Drosophila melanogaster: one gene and its partner. The gene in region 1 interacts genetically with each later gene. Each region holds a gene or a part of one and is shown on either strand. Other genes may lie near its edges.

The links. A genetic interaction does not mean that the proteins touch.
Region 2: of Mvl (region 1) and ATP7, changing one enhances a phenotype caused by changing the other (phenotypic enhancement), as found in Drosophila melanogaster (one study listed by BioGRID).

The regions. Positions count from the first base shown.
Region 1 is NT_033777.3:21,053,956-21,062,708, forward strand, and holds the start of Mvl (malvolio), read right to left. Parts: upstream 6,699-8,753; 5' UTR 6,630-6,698; exon of another isoform or gene 4,514-6,629; 5' UTR 4,513-4,513; coding exon 4,306-4,512; intron 4,246-4,305; coding exon 4,061-4,245; intron 3,997-4,060; coding exon 3,832-3,996; intron 3,760-3,831; coding exon 3,621-3,759; intron 2,896-3,620; coding exon 2,740-2,895; intron 2,672-2,739; coding exon 2,513-2,671; intron 2,455-2,512; coding exon 2,009-2,454; intron 1,948-2,008; coding exon 1,832-1,947; intron 1,769-1,831; coding exon 1,677-1,768; intron 1,461-1,676; coding exon 1,390-1,460; intron 1,087-1,389; coding exon of another isoform or gene 1,005-1,086; exon of another isoform or gene 693-1,004; intron 1-692. Other genes in the region: cortactin, read right to left, coding at 8,271-8,753. UniProt on the Drosophila melanogaster protein: Putative transporter required for normal taste behavior. May be a nitrite/nitrate transporter.
Region 2 is NC_004354.4:11,852,831-11,858,475, forward strand, and holds the start of ATP7 (ATP7), read left to right. Parts: upstream 1-2,191; 5' UTR 2,192-2,521; coding exon 2,522-3,491; intron 3,492-5,645. Other genes in the region: CG10347 (uncharacterized protein), read right to left, coding at 27-511, 571-1,828.

The DNA.
Region 1 (8,753 bases):
TCAATCAAAAGTTTCAAAAAGTAATTTCAATTGGTTTGTATCAATGCCAAAAAATCCATTTCCTCACAGAAATAAAACACATTTTTGTGGTCGTTGCATGTGTGCGTGTTTAAAGTGGGTTCGTGTTTAAATTTGTTTTTGTGTTTGTCAATTGAAATAGTTGGTGGATTTTGTTGTAGTTTTTGTTTTGTACAATTGTTTGGCACATTTCAATTAACCACAAATGAATGGGAAACGGAAAACATCAATCAATCCAGTCGTGTTGTAGACACACCGAGTATAAGAGTAGGGTGTATGGTGTATAAGATAGTGAGAGGGACAGTGGTGAAACACACAGACACATACAGAGAGAGTGCAGGGTTTCCAAGTACATATAATAAAAGAAATATGTTGTGATACAAAATTATTCGAAAATTACCCACATTTATTTGGATTTCTAGTTATTTTAGTGGTATTAGGGTGATAAATGAGCCACGCCCAATGTGCTTTATGTCCATTACGAAAAATATACTTAAAATAATCTAATATATTTTAATACTTAAGCAAATATAACATTTAGTTACTAATTGTTTCCTTATTTCGTTCTAATTCCTTGTACAATCCTTGTGCAATCAAATTCCAATCGTAAAATGGCTTATATTCGCACTTATGGTCAAATACCAATTACCAATAAATTGAAAGACTTCTCGAGTAATACTTAGTGATAACTGCAACTTTATTTAACATGCTAAGCGCCAAAGCTTTATGAGTACATAATACCCATAGCTCGATAAAGCAATCATAGAAGACTTACCACAGTCAAGCTTATAATCTATAGGACCCCATCGTTGATGGGTAAATGCTTTTTATGTACAATCGTAGTTCCCCTAAAGACATGCCTTACAAATGCTAAGGGTTGCGTAGAGCCCTACTAGGTACGTGTTAGTAGTGTTAAGCGTGTGATTTAGTGTTAATATCACAAGGGTGTGTGGGGGAGTGTGGCCTGATTGAGTCACCGGGATGATTCAGTTAGGCACTTTCTCCGAGACGGTATCAAGACCTTTCACCGTGTTAGTAGCTGAATCGCCTACAACTAAGGTTACATCACTGTGAAAAATCGAAAGAAGAGAGCACAGCAAAATACGGGTTGAGGGTTTAGTTTTAGTTCAGAGATGATAACCAAATGTAGATTAGTAAATAGAAAGTAAGTACAGATGAGATAAGATTAGAATCATTAGGAAGTTAGGCCGATTTGGTTGAAAGCAGAGCGGGAAAAAACTTAATCACAAGCAATGGGTTAGCAGAGAATGCTTTTAAGGAAGAAGATGCAAATCGAGAGAGTTTGTGCATTCGAGTGTGTTCTGGATGGTTATATGGTTGAATGGTTGGAATCAAAAATCGGGAACATACCTGGCGTACGTCGAGTTGGCGTTCTTTATCGAAAAGCTGTTCTGGCTTGGCAACACAAAACGCTGCACCCACTGTAAACAGAGAATACCTTGAGTACCAGTTGATGAAGTAGGCATAAGCCCTCAAAGCCCCCAAGAACCATATGTGGTCAGTCACGTAATTTGATAAAGTCAGTCCGTTCAGTGCGGTATCTGTGATGCTTTAAAATGTGTCAAAAAGTTCGCCTAATTTGTGATTCTCTAAGCCCATTTGATAAGTGACCCAACTAGTTGCGGCCAAGTACTTACCCGGCTGTTCATCAAACGCTGATTGCCCATGCAGGCAGCCATGTGTATCACAAGGTAGAGGTTGAACAGTATATACAAAATGGCAAAAATACCTGCAATTGGCAAAAGGAAAAATACATTAGATTCGGTTTAAATTGTGGCAATTGACTACTCACAGACTAGTGCCAGCAAGCCGCCTTTAATTTCCATATTCTCTACTTGCACCACCACAAAGTACAAATTAACGCCAATCACTACAATGGTGAGCAGTATGGATACGATTTTGTTGCCCCTGTGAATACAAAAATTTAAAGAATGCACGATAATCAATTAAAAGTGTCTGTATCACTTACAGTCCATTAACAAACTCGCCCATTATGGCGGCGCACGAGGTGAAGGCGATGGTGGGTATGGCAGCGAATGGCAGCTGGAGCGACATCACCGCATTCAGGATATCGTTCATGCTAGTCAAATCTTCCATCTTGCTGAACATGGCCAGGCAGAAGGTGGGAATAATGGCAATGCAGCGCGTGACCAGCACGCGACACCAGCGCGGCCACTGCAGATTCAAGAAGCCTTCCATTGAGAACTGACCGGCATAGGTGCCCGTCATGGTGGAACTCTGGCCAGCAGCTAGAATGCCCACACCCCAAATGTACATGGCGACAGCTCCAAATGTGCAGCCAAGGAAAAGTCCGCCCTTGTATAGATCTGCATCGATGATCGCGGTTCCATTTACATTGTCCACAAAAGACATTTTGGCATCTTCGTACATCGACTTGTCTTTACACACTTCAACCTATTGGCCCACAAAGAGTTAGCAATCATTTTACACATAAATTCAAAAGTCTACTTACCACATCATTATTAGTTTTGCCATACATGCCATGGGCAAACACAGCCACCACAAACAGGTTAATGATGAAGGACACAAACAAGGCTACCGACGCCTCGATGAAGAAGTAAAAATTCGCCTCACTAACTTTCTTTGTCTGGCGACGGTCTATATCGCGGGACTGTTAACAGAAAATTGTTATGTATTGGTATCTAATTACGAAGTCACAAAAAGCTAGTTGTGCTATACCTTAACCAAGGCGGAATGCAGGTAGAGATTGTGCGGCATAATAACAGCACCCACGACACCCACGGCCTGCAGCAACACATTCGAATTGCAGTTAGAGCACCAGGGCACAAACATTCCCTCGAGAACTTCTCCTTGATTAGGGGCTGATACAATGTACTGAAAGATATGAAAAATAAATTAATTATGACTTAAAACCATTTAAAAAATGATTATGGGGAGAAAACAAATTGTTCCTAGCTTATATTGAGATTTGGTTAGAAATAACAAAATACTTGTTACTCGTAGAAAAATCCCCTCGAGGCACCCCCACTTTTTTCCATTGTAATTATCTCCAAAAACCACCATCGGTAATTGTACAATTCTGCATTGTATAATCTAATTGATAAGACTGGCATTACACATCCCATCTGGAATTGTTAGTCATGTCCGGCAGCATCATGTGCCTGGCAAACAAAAGATGAAGTATCCAGCACCCACGCTCAGAACCCCATTTAGTGTGCGAGTGAAGCTTATCTAATCATCTCCGTCTGGGGCAGAAAGCTCAAGTACAATTGTTTATAATCTGGCCCGTTAACATGATGCGGTCGTAAACTTAAGAGTAAGAATATGGGGCTAGTTAACGGGCTAACTTCATCCAGAAATCGACAAGTCAAATGTAAATTTACTACTAGCGATCATTAAAATAAACCTAAACAGGCATCTCACAAATTATTTGCCATTGCGGTCGTTGCAATTGTTTAAACAATTCGTATTTGCACTCACGTCTGGTAATTTATTCTCTTGACTACTTTATTGTCATTTGGCAAGGGGATTTTTTGCTGATTTTGGCGATTACTTTTTATAGTTAAGTTATTTTTTTCAACTTTGCATTTTAAACTTACCTCATAGCCGAATGAGACAGCCATAATGGTGATGAGGGTGCCGAATAGGAACTCCAGCTTGCGTAGACCGTACTTGTCCAGAAACAGGAACGTGAACGTGTCAACAATGGTGATCAACACTCCGCCCCACAAAGGCACTCTACAAAATGGGGAAAGCACCGCATGCATGAGTACTGGGTACTGCGATAATCCGCTCATTAGATTTGCTTACACTTTGTTGGACAGCAGGTATATGGCAATGGCCGTGCCAATGACCTCCTGCATGTCGGATCCAATAATGGCTATCTCTATCATTATCCACAGTATCCAACGTGGCAGACGCTTGTACTGTCTGTAGCACATCTCGGCCAGATGCAGGCCTGTAACCACGCCCAGTCTGCCAGGAAGATAATAAACGCTTATATCATCATCTTTTTTGCAAGGTGTGGAGACCCAATTACCTTGCAGCCAAGCGTTGCATGAGCAGACCTAGGACTGTGGCCCACAGCAAGACCCACAAGATCTTGTACTTGGCCGCCGCACCAGACTGCATATCGGATTCGATGTTGCCGGGGTCCAGATACGCAATGGACATAAGAAAACCGGGTCCCGTGAAGGCCCACAGCTTGCGAAAGCTGAAACCCACCTGCAGATCACCAGATATTAGATAAAGTTTGAGTAGCATTGCTATTCAAGCGGGTCTTACGTTTGTGCTATCATCGTCGGGTATGAGGACCTTCTCGTCGCTAAAGTAGGCCTGCTTGGCGGCGGGTTTCAGGTAGGTCGTCTCGTTGAGTATCTGCTGGTGGTGCAGCTGGTTGCTCCGCTGACTTCCTCCGCCGGATGCGCCAGACGATCCGCCCGGTCCATCTCCACCGGCACCCGGCTCGTGGTAGGCCTCATTCGAAGACATGCTGCACAGAAGAGGCGAGGTTAGACTGGACCTAATTCGAGTTTCCACATGCTGCTATATTCCCGTCCACTGCCCATTGTCGACTACTCTAATTTGTATTTTCTATTTGATTGTTTCACCTGGCATCAGCTTATGATTCCCACCATTTTCATTTAATTGAGCATCTGTGTGTGATTCTAGCTCAATTAGCATTATCATATTGCACACAACAAACAAAATAATTTTGCGCTATAATTAAGTTTTTTGCACCATATAGTTTTATTTGGGGATTTCACCATAATCAAGAGCAAAGTCACAGTAACACGTTTTATTTTTTCCGAAACGCGCGTGGCAAAATATGAAAACAATAAATAGTTCGAGAGGCATTAGCTCGGGGGTAACTGATAACGCGTCCATAATATTACTGAAATTTGCTTATATTATGCGGGTATATAAGGAAATAAAACGAGCTCAGTGATTCATGAAGTCCAGTAATTGAAATGCCTCTGCCCAATTTACCCAGAGAACTTGCAGATATTTCGCATTTGCAGTCGTATAGATATGGATGGTCGAAAACAAGACTACTTGAACATAAACACGAGTCCATTGACCCGTGTATCGATGTGAAATTTTGGACTGTTTATTTGGTAAAAGCGATTACAAGTGCATTTCGTATACAAGATGCCTGAGCAGTCTTGGCTGCTCTTCAACGCAATACATTGAATGTAGAGCCAAGTGGCTCACCTTGACAAACGCGACTGCCCCACTGATGCTACATATCTGCTATAAGGCTTTCCACATCGCTTCATTGATGATTGAATCGGAGCAAGCAAAGACAAAGAGCTCGAGAGCATCGTGCAATGTCTACTTCACATTATATGTGGCACTTGGACGGGTACATTTGGCATATACTATAAGTAACCGAGTTGGCCATATCAAGCCGCCATTAATGGAGCTTAAATCGCGCTGCAGTGGCTCGAAGGAAATGTGTAACAACGAAATGTCGGAGGAGGGTGTTTAGTTCATTGGAACACTTTTGTGTTATATTGTGTGGCGCAGACTGCTCTGTTTACCCAGTTGTATGGCAATACCCACGCCCCCAAAAGCGGAATTCTAGCCGATAAGTGTATAATCAGCCACATATTTATGTACGTGTTCCTTTGCCACTTTAGTGCCCAGTTGGACGCTGTAAATTATGACAATTGGTAATCAAAAAAAAAAAAAACGAACCATTTCCATTAAGAGTCCAAATTAAGTGGCACCAAAAAATATCATGAGTTTATTTAGAGAAAATATATATTTTAAACTGCGTACCATTTTGCGCAGTCAGCGGGCAAAAGCAATTTATATTGTATATTGAAGCAGGCGAAACAAAACACTTGACAACAAAAAATTGACAAATGCAGATAACAGTAATTTGAAAATAGAAGAGCAATACTTATCAGCCCACATTGTTAAGTCGCTTGTTAAAAAAAAAAAAACTAAAACAGTAATTATACGATTTCCGCTGCCTAAAATAGTTATTTCTATGACAGTTCTCGCTGGCAATAAAAGTAGTGAATTGTGTCTGGAAAACTATCCATTGTTAGGGGATTTTAAAGTGCGAATAGCTTGTCAACAATTGTTTTCTGTTTACGGTTATTTACGGTTAAGAATTATACATTACTCTCTTTGCCGGTTAGAGGGAGAGCGGACGGAGAGAGGGTGCACCACGTTGTTTTTGTTATTAGCGCACACCTGCGTGCGCACTCACACACACACACGAAATATTGATGGAGATGTAAATTATTGGGCAACTCAGGTTAAACAGCACTTCCTACCAGTTAATGGCTTACTTGCAACTGGGGGTTAACTAATTGGAGCCCTCGCCTTTATTATATCACAATCTCGGCACTTGTGGCAGCTTATAAATGCATTTTCCTGCTTTTCTCGCGGAGCAATTTACGAAATTTACGAATTCCGTGACGTTGTACGGCCGAAACAAGAGTGGTGATGGTCGCAGTAAACGAAGCAGAGAAATGACGAAGAAGCGGACGGTTTGGCTGCCAATTGCTGACTTAGTTAACGACAATTGACGAGCGTGCAGGCAATTTGTGCTCAGCCGTGAGCGCAGCTCTTTGTTTATTAATTTTCCTCACAATATTTGAGATTCTGCCACCAGCTGCTTTCTTTTGCACGCACACTCACTCGCCTCTCACATGCACACTGTCTTTTCGTCTGTGCCCAATGTGGCAACCTGCGGCCACTCTCTCTTCTTTGACTTGCCGAAATCTGGCAACACTCGACAAGAGTACTAACCTTATCGGCCAAACTGAAGTTTTAACTCTGAGCCCACGCGATCGAGTGACTGACTATAGCATTTTGCGGTAGCCCCTATTTATTCAAAATATCTCTCTCTCGCGTCGGCAAGTGAGAAAAAGAAAGACAGAAAGAGAGAGAGAGAGAGTGTGTGCGTGGGAGAAAGACCACTGCTTTTTTTTGAGGGGAGATTTTTTGATAAGGCCTGAGATTTGGATTTTTGAAGGCCCCAGAAATACCGCCTAAGATTTGAACATGCATTTGAAATACCGGTTTGTACATCGACCGCAGGTTACCGTTAGAAATGTTATGCGGGATACATAGTTAAGTTGCATACCCTTTGAGTTACAATCACTAGTTAATAATATCTACGTTATTACCAACACGCACACTTTATCGTAATACCTCCTTGAAGTTTAATTTATACATCAACTTTATCAGTCAAAACTTTGATTTCGTCTGACACTTTTTTCGATTACGATCCGTCGCCAATAATTGCGATAAATCTTATCAAGTCTTTTTGGGATTGGCGCTCAAATTTACAATATGGCCGTACATCCTACTTATGTATGTTTTTTAACTAATTAATCACCACAATGCAAAGTACTCTTTCTTTGTTGAGCCCATATGCACTCACATTTGCACCATGAATCATGTCAGTAGCTCGTTTCATGTAACAATTTCTACTTTGCCAGATTACGATGCGTTCGGAACAGGCAGATAAGAATTCGGCCCATCCAAGAAAGGCCTTGACAGTTCTACCCCAAAATAGAGATATCCTCGTGATATTAGAAGGAACCCAACAATATGCTCGTTCTTATCTTCTTATAGAAATTTGTGAATTCCCGTATCCAATGAAATCATTTTACTTAGTAAAATGATTTGTTAGGCCTTAAAAAAAAACAAAAACACCCGAACTATCAGTACCACAATTTAAGAGAGAACTCGTTATTATTTAACTTTATTAATTATGTATTTCTTTATCAAAAGAGCAGACTTTTTGTTTGTGACTGTCTTCAACATTAGATCCGTCTTTAACATTAGATCAGATCACCTGACACGGGAAACTCTCGTAGACTTTATACAATTCAAAAAAACCAAAATCGTTACTTGACACAAATATCATAACTAATGCATAAAATATGAAATGAGAGATATCTAAAATAGCTTGGCATATTTTCTTGGTAAAATAAATGTGTTAAATACAAAGAATGTAAAATGCAATAAATGATACATATATCAAAAATGGAATACCACGGTTACTTTAAGTGCTAGCATAACAAATTACAATAATAATTCAATATCTAGCCATTCGTTGCACATAATTTGGAGGGTTAAGAGGGTAAACAATGGATGGGAAATGGGCTGGGTTAGTTGCGAATTGGTTTATATGGTTTATAATCCAACATCAGTATTATCGTTTTCGTTAGTATGTAAATACAATTTGATTTTGTTCTATCGTGAATTTCAATTGGAAGCTTTTATGAGTTCTGTCCCACCACCTGCACGTAGTTGGCTGGAAAGAGTCCGTAGCGGTTCTTGCACAATCCCCTCCACCACCCATCGTCGATCTTCTCGATGTGGGTGATCACGTCATCTGGATCAAAGGATATCTCGTCGTCATCCGCCGCCTGGTAGTCGTACAGGGCAATGGCGTGGATTCCGGTGTCCTCCAGATAGTCGGCCAAATTGTCTGAGTTCGCGTAGATTGCCTCCTCGGGAACGGTTGCGGTGCCACTCGGAGCAACAGCCTCTGAAACGGTTCCATTCGTTGGTGGCAAGGGCGAGGCAGCCTTAATCTCGGCCTGGTTCTGGTACAGTGGCTCTTCTTCAACTACTGGCTCAGGATCGGCTTGAGGTTGCGGCTCAGGTTGGACTTGGACTTGGGCGTGGACTTCGGGTTGAGGCGTCGGCACATACACTGGTGATTGCGGCTCACTTCTGGGAGGCGTGTCCACGGTCTC
Region 2 (5,645 bases), on another chromosome or scaffold:
AGAAAAAAAGAAAAGCGGAACACCGTCTACACCTGCAGGTGTATCAGTTCTTTCTTGGAGAGAACGGTGATCAGATTGTTTGCCGTGGTTATGCCCAGAATCTCGTCAATCTCGTTGCCCAAGGTGATGAGCTTTTGTTTACCCAAGGTGACGGGAGGTCCGTTTCGCCTGCGGAGACCATCAGCCGAATTATTAGCCGGAAAGTAGACGAGAACGTAGCGTACAGGGTCACATATGGCTACGTAATCCAGATCCGGACTGCAGACGGTGAATTTCCGCACAACCTTGGAGGCCTGCACGTAGCCGAAGGCGTGCAGCTGGCCCTCGTGGCGGACACTCCATTCATCTGGACGACTGGGCTGGTACATCTGTAGCCATATGGAGGCGTCGACGCCCTGGCGGGTAGCAAAGGCGGCTGGAAAGCCAGGACGCAGCGTGGTGGTGAGCACCAGTGGCGGGGGACCAAGAAAAATAGTGTGGGTGATGCACCCGCTGGTCAAATTGAAGCGTACTAAAAGAAGAAAATGTATTTATTAAGCATATGCAGCAGATGTATAATAGAATGCTTACCCATCTTCATTTCTTCATCAGCGGATATTAAGTCACATTCTTCAACGGGATCCTGCAGACTTGGAATGGGCAGTGGTGGAGCTTCCATTGGATGTACTTCCTCCGCTACGTCATCTTTCTTCTGCGCGAACAAACGTGGCCAGTTCTGAATCTCCGCCTTGGTTAGTGACAATTCTAGGCCATTCTCAGCCAACTTAAATGCACTTAAATCATCTCCCACACTGGCGTATAACTCTTCGTCGAATATAACCTCATCCAGATGCTTTACAACGACAGTGGTTTTAGAACCGCTCACGTTAAACTCTTTAGCGGATGCAGTTGAAGGAACATTGAAACGAATGAGCACATTATTATCCGTTTGGGACCAGCTATAACTAGGTGGACCTCCATTTTCCAGCTGGCCATCGTGATCACCTGAGGAATTCAAGCGGGCAGCGGCTGCTTCATCGGCTGCCCGACGCTCCTCGGGAGTCTGAACATCGCGGTTGCTGGCAATGACTAGGGACTCGGCGCGAGGCTCAAAGGCGCAGTAGTGCACAGAGCCAGTGGTCTCCAGCCGTTGACAGATATTATATGACCACTCGTCATTGGTGGGCGAATGAGTCCACCGTGCCCAGGTCAAGTCCATGTAATAGACGTGCGTCTGATCTTGGCCAACTGCATCACGGCGTGCCACATGACCGGCCACCAGCGAGATCTGCTTACGTTCCTGCAGCACATCCAGCCGGGCATCGAAGAGTGCAAAGCCGCGATGACCACTGTTATTATTCACCGGCGAGCGTGTAATCCGTTGCCACTCCTGCACATCGGTGCGCGTTCTGTCGCCGGTGTCCACCAGATGGTAACTGGTTATACCGTCGCAGATCACACAGAATCGTTCCGAAACGAAAACTATGGTGTAGTTGTAGTCACCCGACCGATGTAGTTCCCCATCGCCCTGATCCCTATAGTCCACCGTGAGGACAACGCGCTGGGCACGTGCGCGTCCAGTCTGTAGATCGTAGTTGCACTGCACCAGCTGGTGGCGCTTGTTAAAGAAGTAGCTGCAGTGGCGCATCCATGGATCGGCTACCAGGTGATTGTGTCGGGCAAAGAGCTCCGTGTGCAGCAGCGAGAACTGATTGCTGCTCGGATCCAGCACGTAGGCATCACATCCAAGTTCCTGGCGAAGAACAGGCACCGAATCGAATGCCAATTTGTAGCCAGAAAAGTCCGAGCACACCAGGTTGCGATCCACTTTCAGTTCCACCACCGGCATCTTGCTTTACTGCGCCAATGCTGAGTTGGATTATATTGGAGATTTCGAAAAAATAGAGATAGATATTCCAAAACAAATCAAATCAAATCGGTAGTAGACCGGATAGAGATGGCAGATGACCGTTCGGCCGTGACTCGTATCGACTTTTTATCGACAAGTGGGGGATATGTACGATACCTTGGCAATTTTCAAATCTAATAAGATTCCTTTTTTTAGTTTGAAATTTAACTAAACAATTAAATAGCTAAAAAGAAAACATTAGTTAGTCACATATTTTTTTATCGAATCGAAAGTTTAAGCAATGTATCGATATAGCCCACATCGGTATCTAGCTCATCTCGATAGCGCCTGCCTATCGACGGACGGCCATCGGTAGTTGCGTGCCGTGGGAAAAACATAACGGGAGCGGAGCAGCTGTTGCCTGCTAATTGAAAAATTAGACACAAGAACGCAAAATTGTGAGTTTCGTGTGGAGTTTGGCCAAGTGAAAAGCGTTGGCGGGAGGCGACTACTCCACCACAACAAATCCAGTAGTAGCTGCAATACGACTCACCCGACTCCACAAAGTTAGTTTAGTGACACAATTCGGTACGTGCGATAGGGCGAGGGGCAACTCAAAAGTTCAAAATCTCAAGTATATCAAGTAATTCCGCATCGTCGTGTTCCGCCCACCCAAAATAATGCACATTGAGGATGCCAAGTGACGAGAGAGTAGAAGCGACGATGTCCACGGTGCGCCTGCCCATTGTGGGCATGACTTGCCAGTCGTGTGTGCGCAATATCACAGAGCACATTGGCCAGAAATCGGGAATCCTTGGCGTGCGCGTCATTCTCGAGGAGAATGCGGGCTATTTCGACTACGATCCCCGACAGACGGATCCCGCCCGGATAGCCAGCGATATCGACGACATGGGCTTCGAGTGCAGCTATCCAGGGGATGCAGCAGATCCTCCCGAAACTCCCGCCAGCGCATGGACCAACATACGGGTGGTGGGCATGACCTGCCAGTCGTGCGTGCGCAACATCGAAGGCAATATCGGCACCAAGCCGGGCATCCATTCCATTGAGGTGCAACTGGCGGCCAAGAATGCCCGCGTTCAGTACGATCCCGCCCAGTATGATCCCGCCCAGATAGCCGAGCTCATCGATGACATGGGTTTTGAGGCTAGTGTGCAGGAACCTCGATCGCCATCCCAATCGCCGTCGCCCGCCCCCGCCTCATCACCCAAAAAGAGGGCAACTCCTACTCCTCCACCTCCTTCATATGCTCAAAATGGTTCGGCAGTGGCCATACCCGTCGAACAGGAGCTACTGACCAAATGCTTTCTGCACATCCGAGGCATGACGTGCGCCAGCTGTGTGGCCGCCATCGAGAAGCACTGCAAGAAGATCTACGGCCTGGACAGCATCCTGGTAGCCCTGCTGGCCGCCAAGGCGGAGGTCAAGTTCAATGCCAATGTTGTGACGGCCGAGAATATAGCGAAATCAATCACGGAGCTGGGCTTCCCCACCGAACTCATCGATGAGCCGGACAACGGCGAGGCGGAGGTGGAGTTGGAGATTATGGGCATGACTTGCGCCTCCTGCGTCAACAAGATCGAGAGTCATGTGCTTAAAATAAGGGGCGTGACCACCGCCTCCGTCACACTGCTAACAAAGAGGGGTGAGTGTTTTTTGTGTACTTAAGCTAAGTGGCTTTCTGGAACTAGTTTATCCCGAGAGAATTTCAAATCACGTTCTGGGTCATGCATTCGAATCGAATTGCGAGTCTGGAAGCATTCCACAAGTGGCAGTGCCAATTGTTATGCAATATTTATAATAATAAACACCTGGAATGGGGCCATCAACCGATATGCACCTGTTGCGCTTTATTCTTGCCCAACGAGCACAGGTGTTAAATTCGATCATATATCTTGTATATCTTAAGGGATCGAATAATGCAATGGGAGTAATGAGCTGTAACAGAAGCAAACTATTGGCAATCGTTAATTGATGCAACTTGTGGCAATAACAAATATTAAATAAGCCATTCAAGGGAATTTCGTAGAATGCCCTTATTTGTTTTGCATTTCGCAGAAAGCGACAGCTGTTCCTTTTTATTAACCTACTAGCATCGAGTTCGAGTAGAATCGGTGCAAATGTTTTTTTTTTTTTTATTGTTCGCTTTTCACAATTTCCACAATTGAAAACTGGCCCAGCAATTGTTTATTGCAACTGATATACTCGATTTACTTTATGCTTTTTTTTCTGGGGAGGGTGGCAGGTTCGTTGATAAGAAAGTGCGAGGAGCACTATACTCATATGCATGTATGTATGTATGTACTTTATAAACCATACACTACTAACTATGCTTTCAGCAAACAATGCCAGTGGCAACTAGATTAAATAGCTGGAATTCACCACGCTCGTGTGCGTGGGCAGTAAAGCTATCTGGAACACTTGGATGAGGGGAATTCAATGGCAAGCCGAGAGTCGGGATATTTAAAATATTCAAGATATTCGCTAAAAAACACATAATATAATTATTGTTTTGTTGGGCGCTGGCAGCTCGAGTTTTATTTGCCAGATTATAGCGTGTTTTTTGCGAGTGTTCAGGAAGAACTTATATATACATATTTATGTATGCGATTAGCTGACAAAGAACAAATGAAATGATTTGAGCTCTTTGTTTTCATAAACTTTATACTGCCAATCGCATTTACCAATTAGCATTTAAGCCATGAAACTGAAAGTCCGCCTGGCCAAAGAAAAATCAAAACAAAAGTGAAAGAGCTCCAATACGCCTTGAAATACAAGTACATACATATAATGTATGTACATATATATGTATGAATGTATAATAATTTATATACCCGCGATTGGCGGGCAAACGAGCGAGGAACTAATCTCGCTTTTGTCTGGAAAAAAAGAGGGAAACCTCTCTCTTTTTCAGCTTTGCAGTCTTTCTGCTCCGCATGCGTGGCCACGAACTCCACTTCCACTTCGTACACAGCGAGAAATGGGGCTAACTATGATATAAGTATTATATAGAAGAGTGCTATCTACTTCGGCATATGATCAGCATATAAAATCTACTAATATTTAAAAGCACGAATCGTACAATGTTTAGCAAGTTTCTTTTATTTTATGTTAAGCACGCACTTTTTCTTCGAGTGCATTTCTAGTTTCATTCACCTTCACTTTGATTTAGAGCTGTTTTTACTTTACTTTTGCTTTGCCAGCTCAAAAATGTTGATTTGAAATTAGTGAACTAGTGGCGAATTATGCAATAACTTGGCTTTGATCCACCACATTCACATTGAATTCTGGCTGATTTACGAATATCGGTTTGCATACCCGTATTTATGTATGTACTAGATGTACGTGCGCCGTTTTGAGAAGCTCAATTGCAAATTCAAAAATGAAAATGCATAAATGGGGAGCCTCGTAATTATGATTGCAATGGAACTGGTTTTCGATTTTTTCGCATTCGACATGGAGACATGCGCACGGTGGAGAAAAGCGAGCGAAACTGTTGCGATTAAATGACACTGAAAATAATTTCAGACATTCAAAAGTGGTATGAAAACAGCGAGCCCACATGAATATCAATCGCTGGCAGCTGTATGATGGTATATAAAGTACAATATCGCTTGTTTTTTTAAAGTTTATTTGTTTATTTTGAATTTACATATATACTTATTAAGATACTTAATTGTATTGTAATCATTTTCGAAAAACAATTACGTACCAGTCATGCTTCTGAAAGAGTTCATAGATGTTTTGGGCCAGCGAAGTTGGACTTCTGCCATATGGATTGGTCCAATTCCGTGCGGCT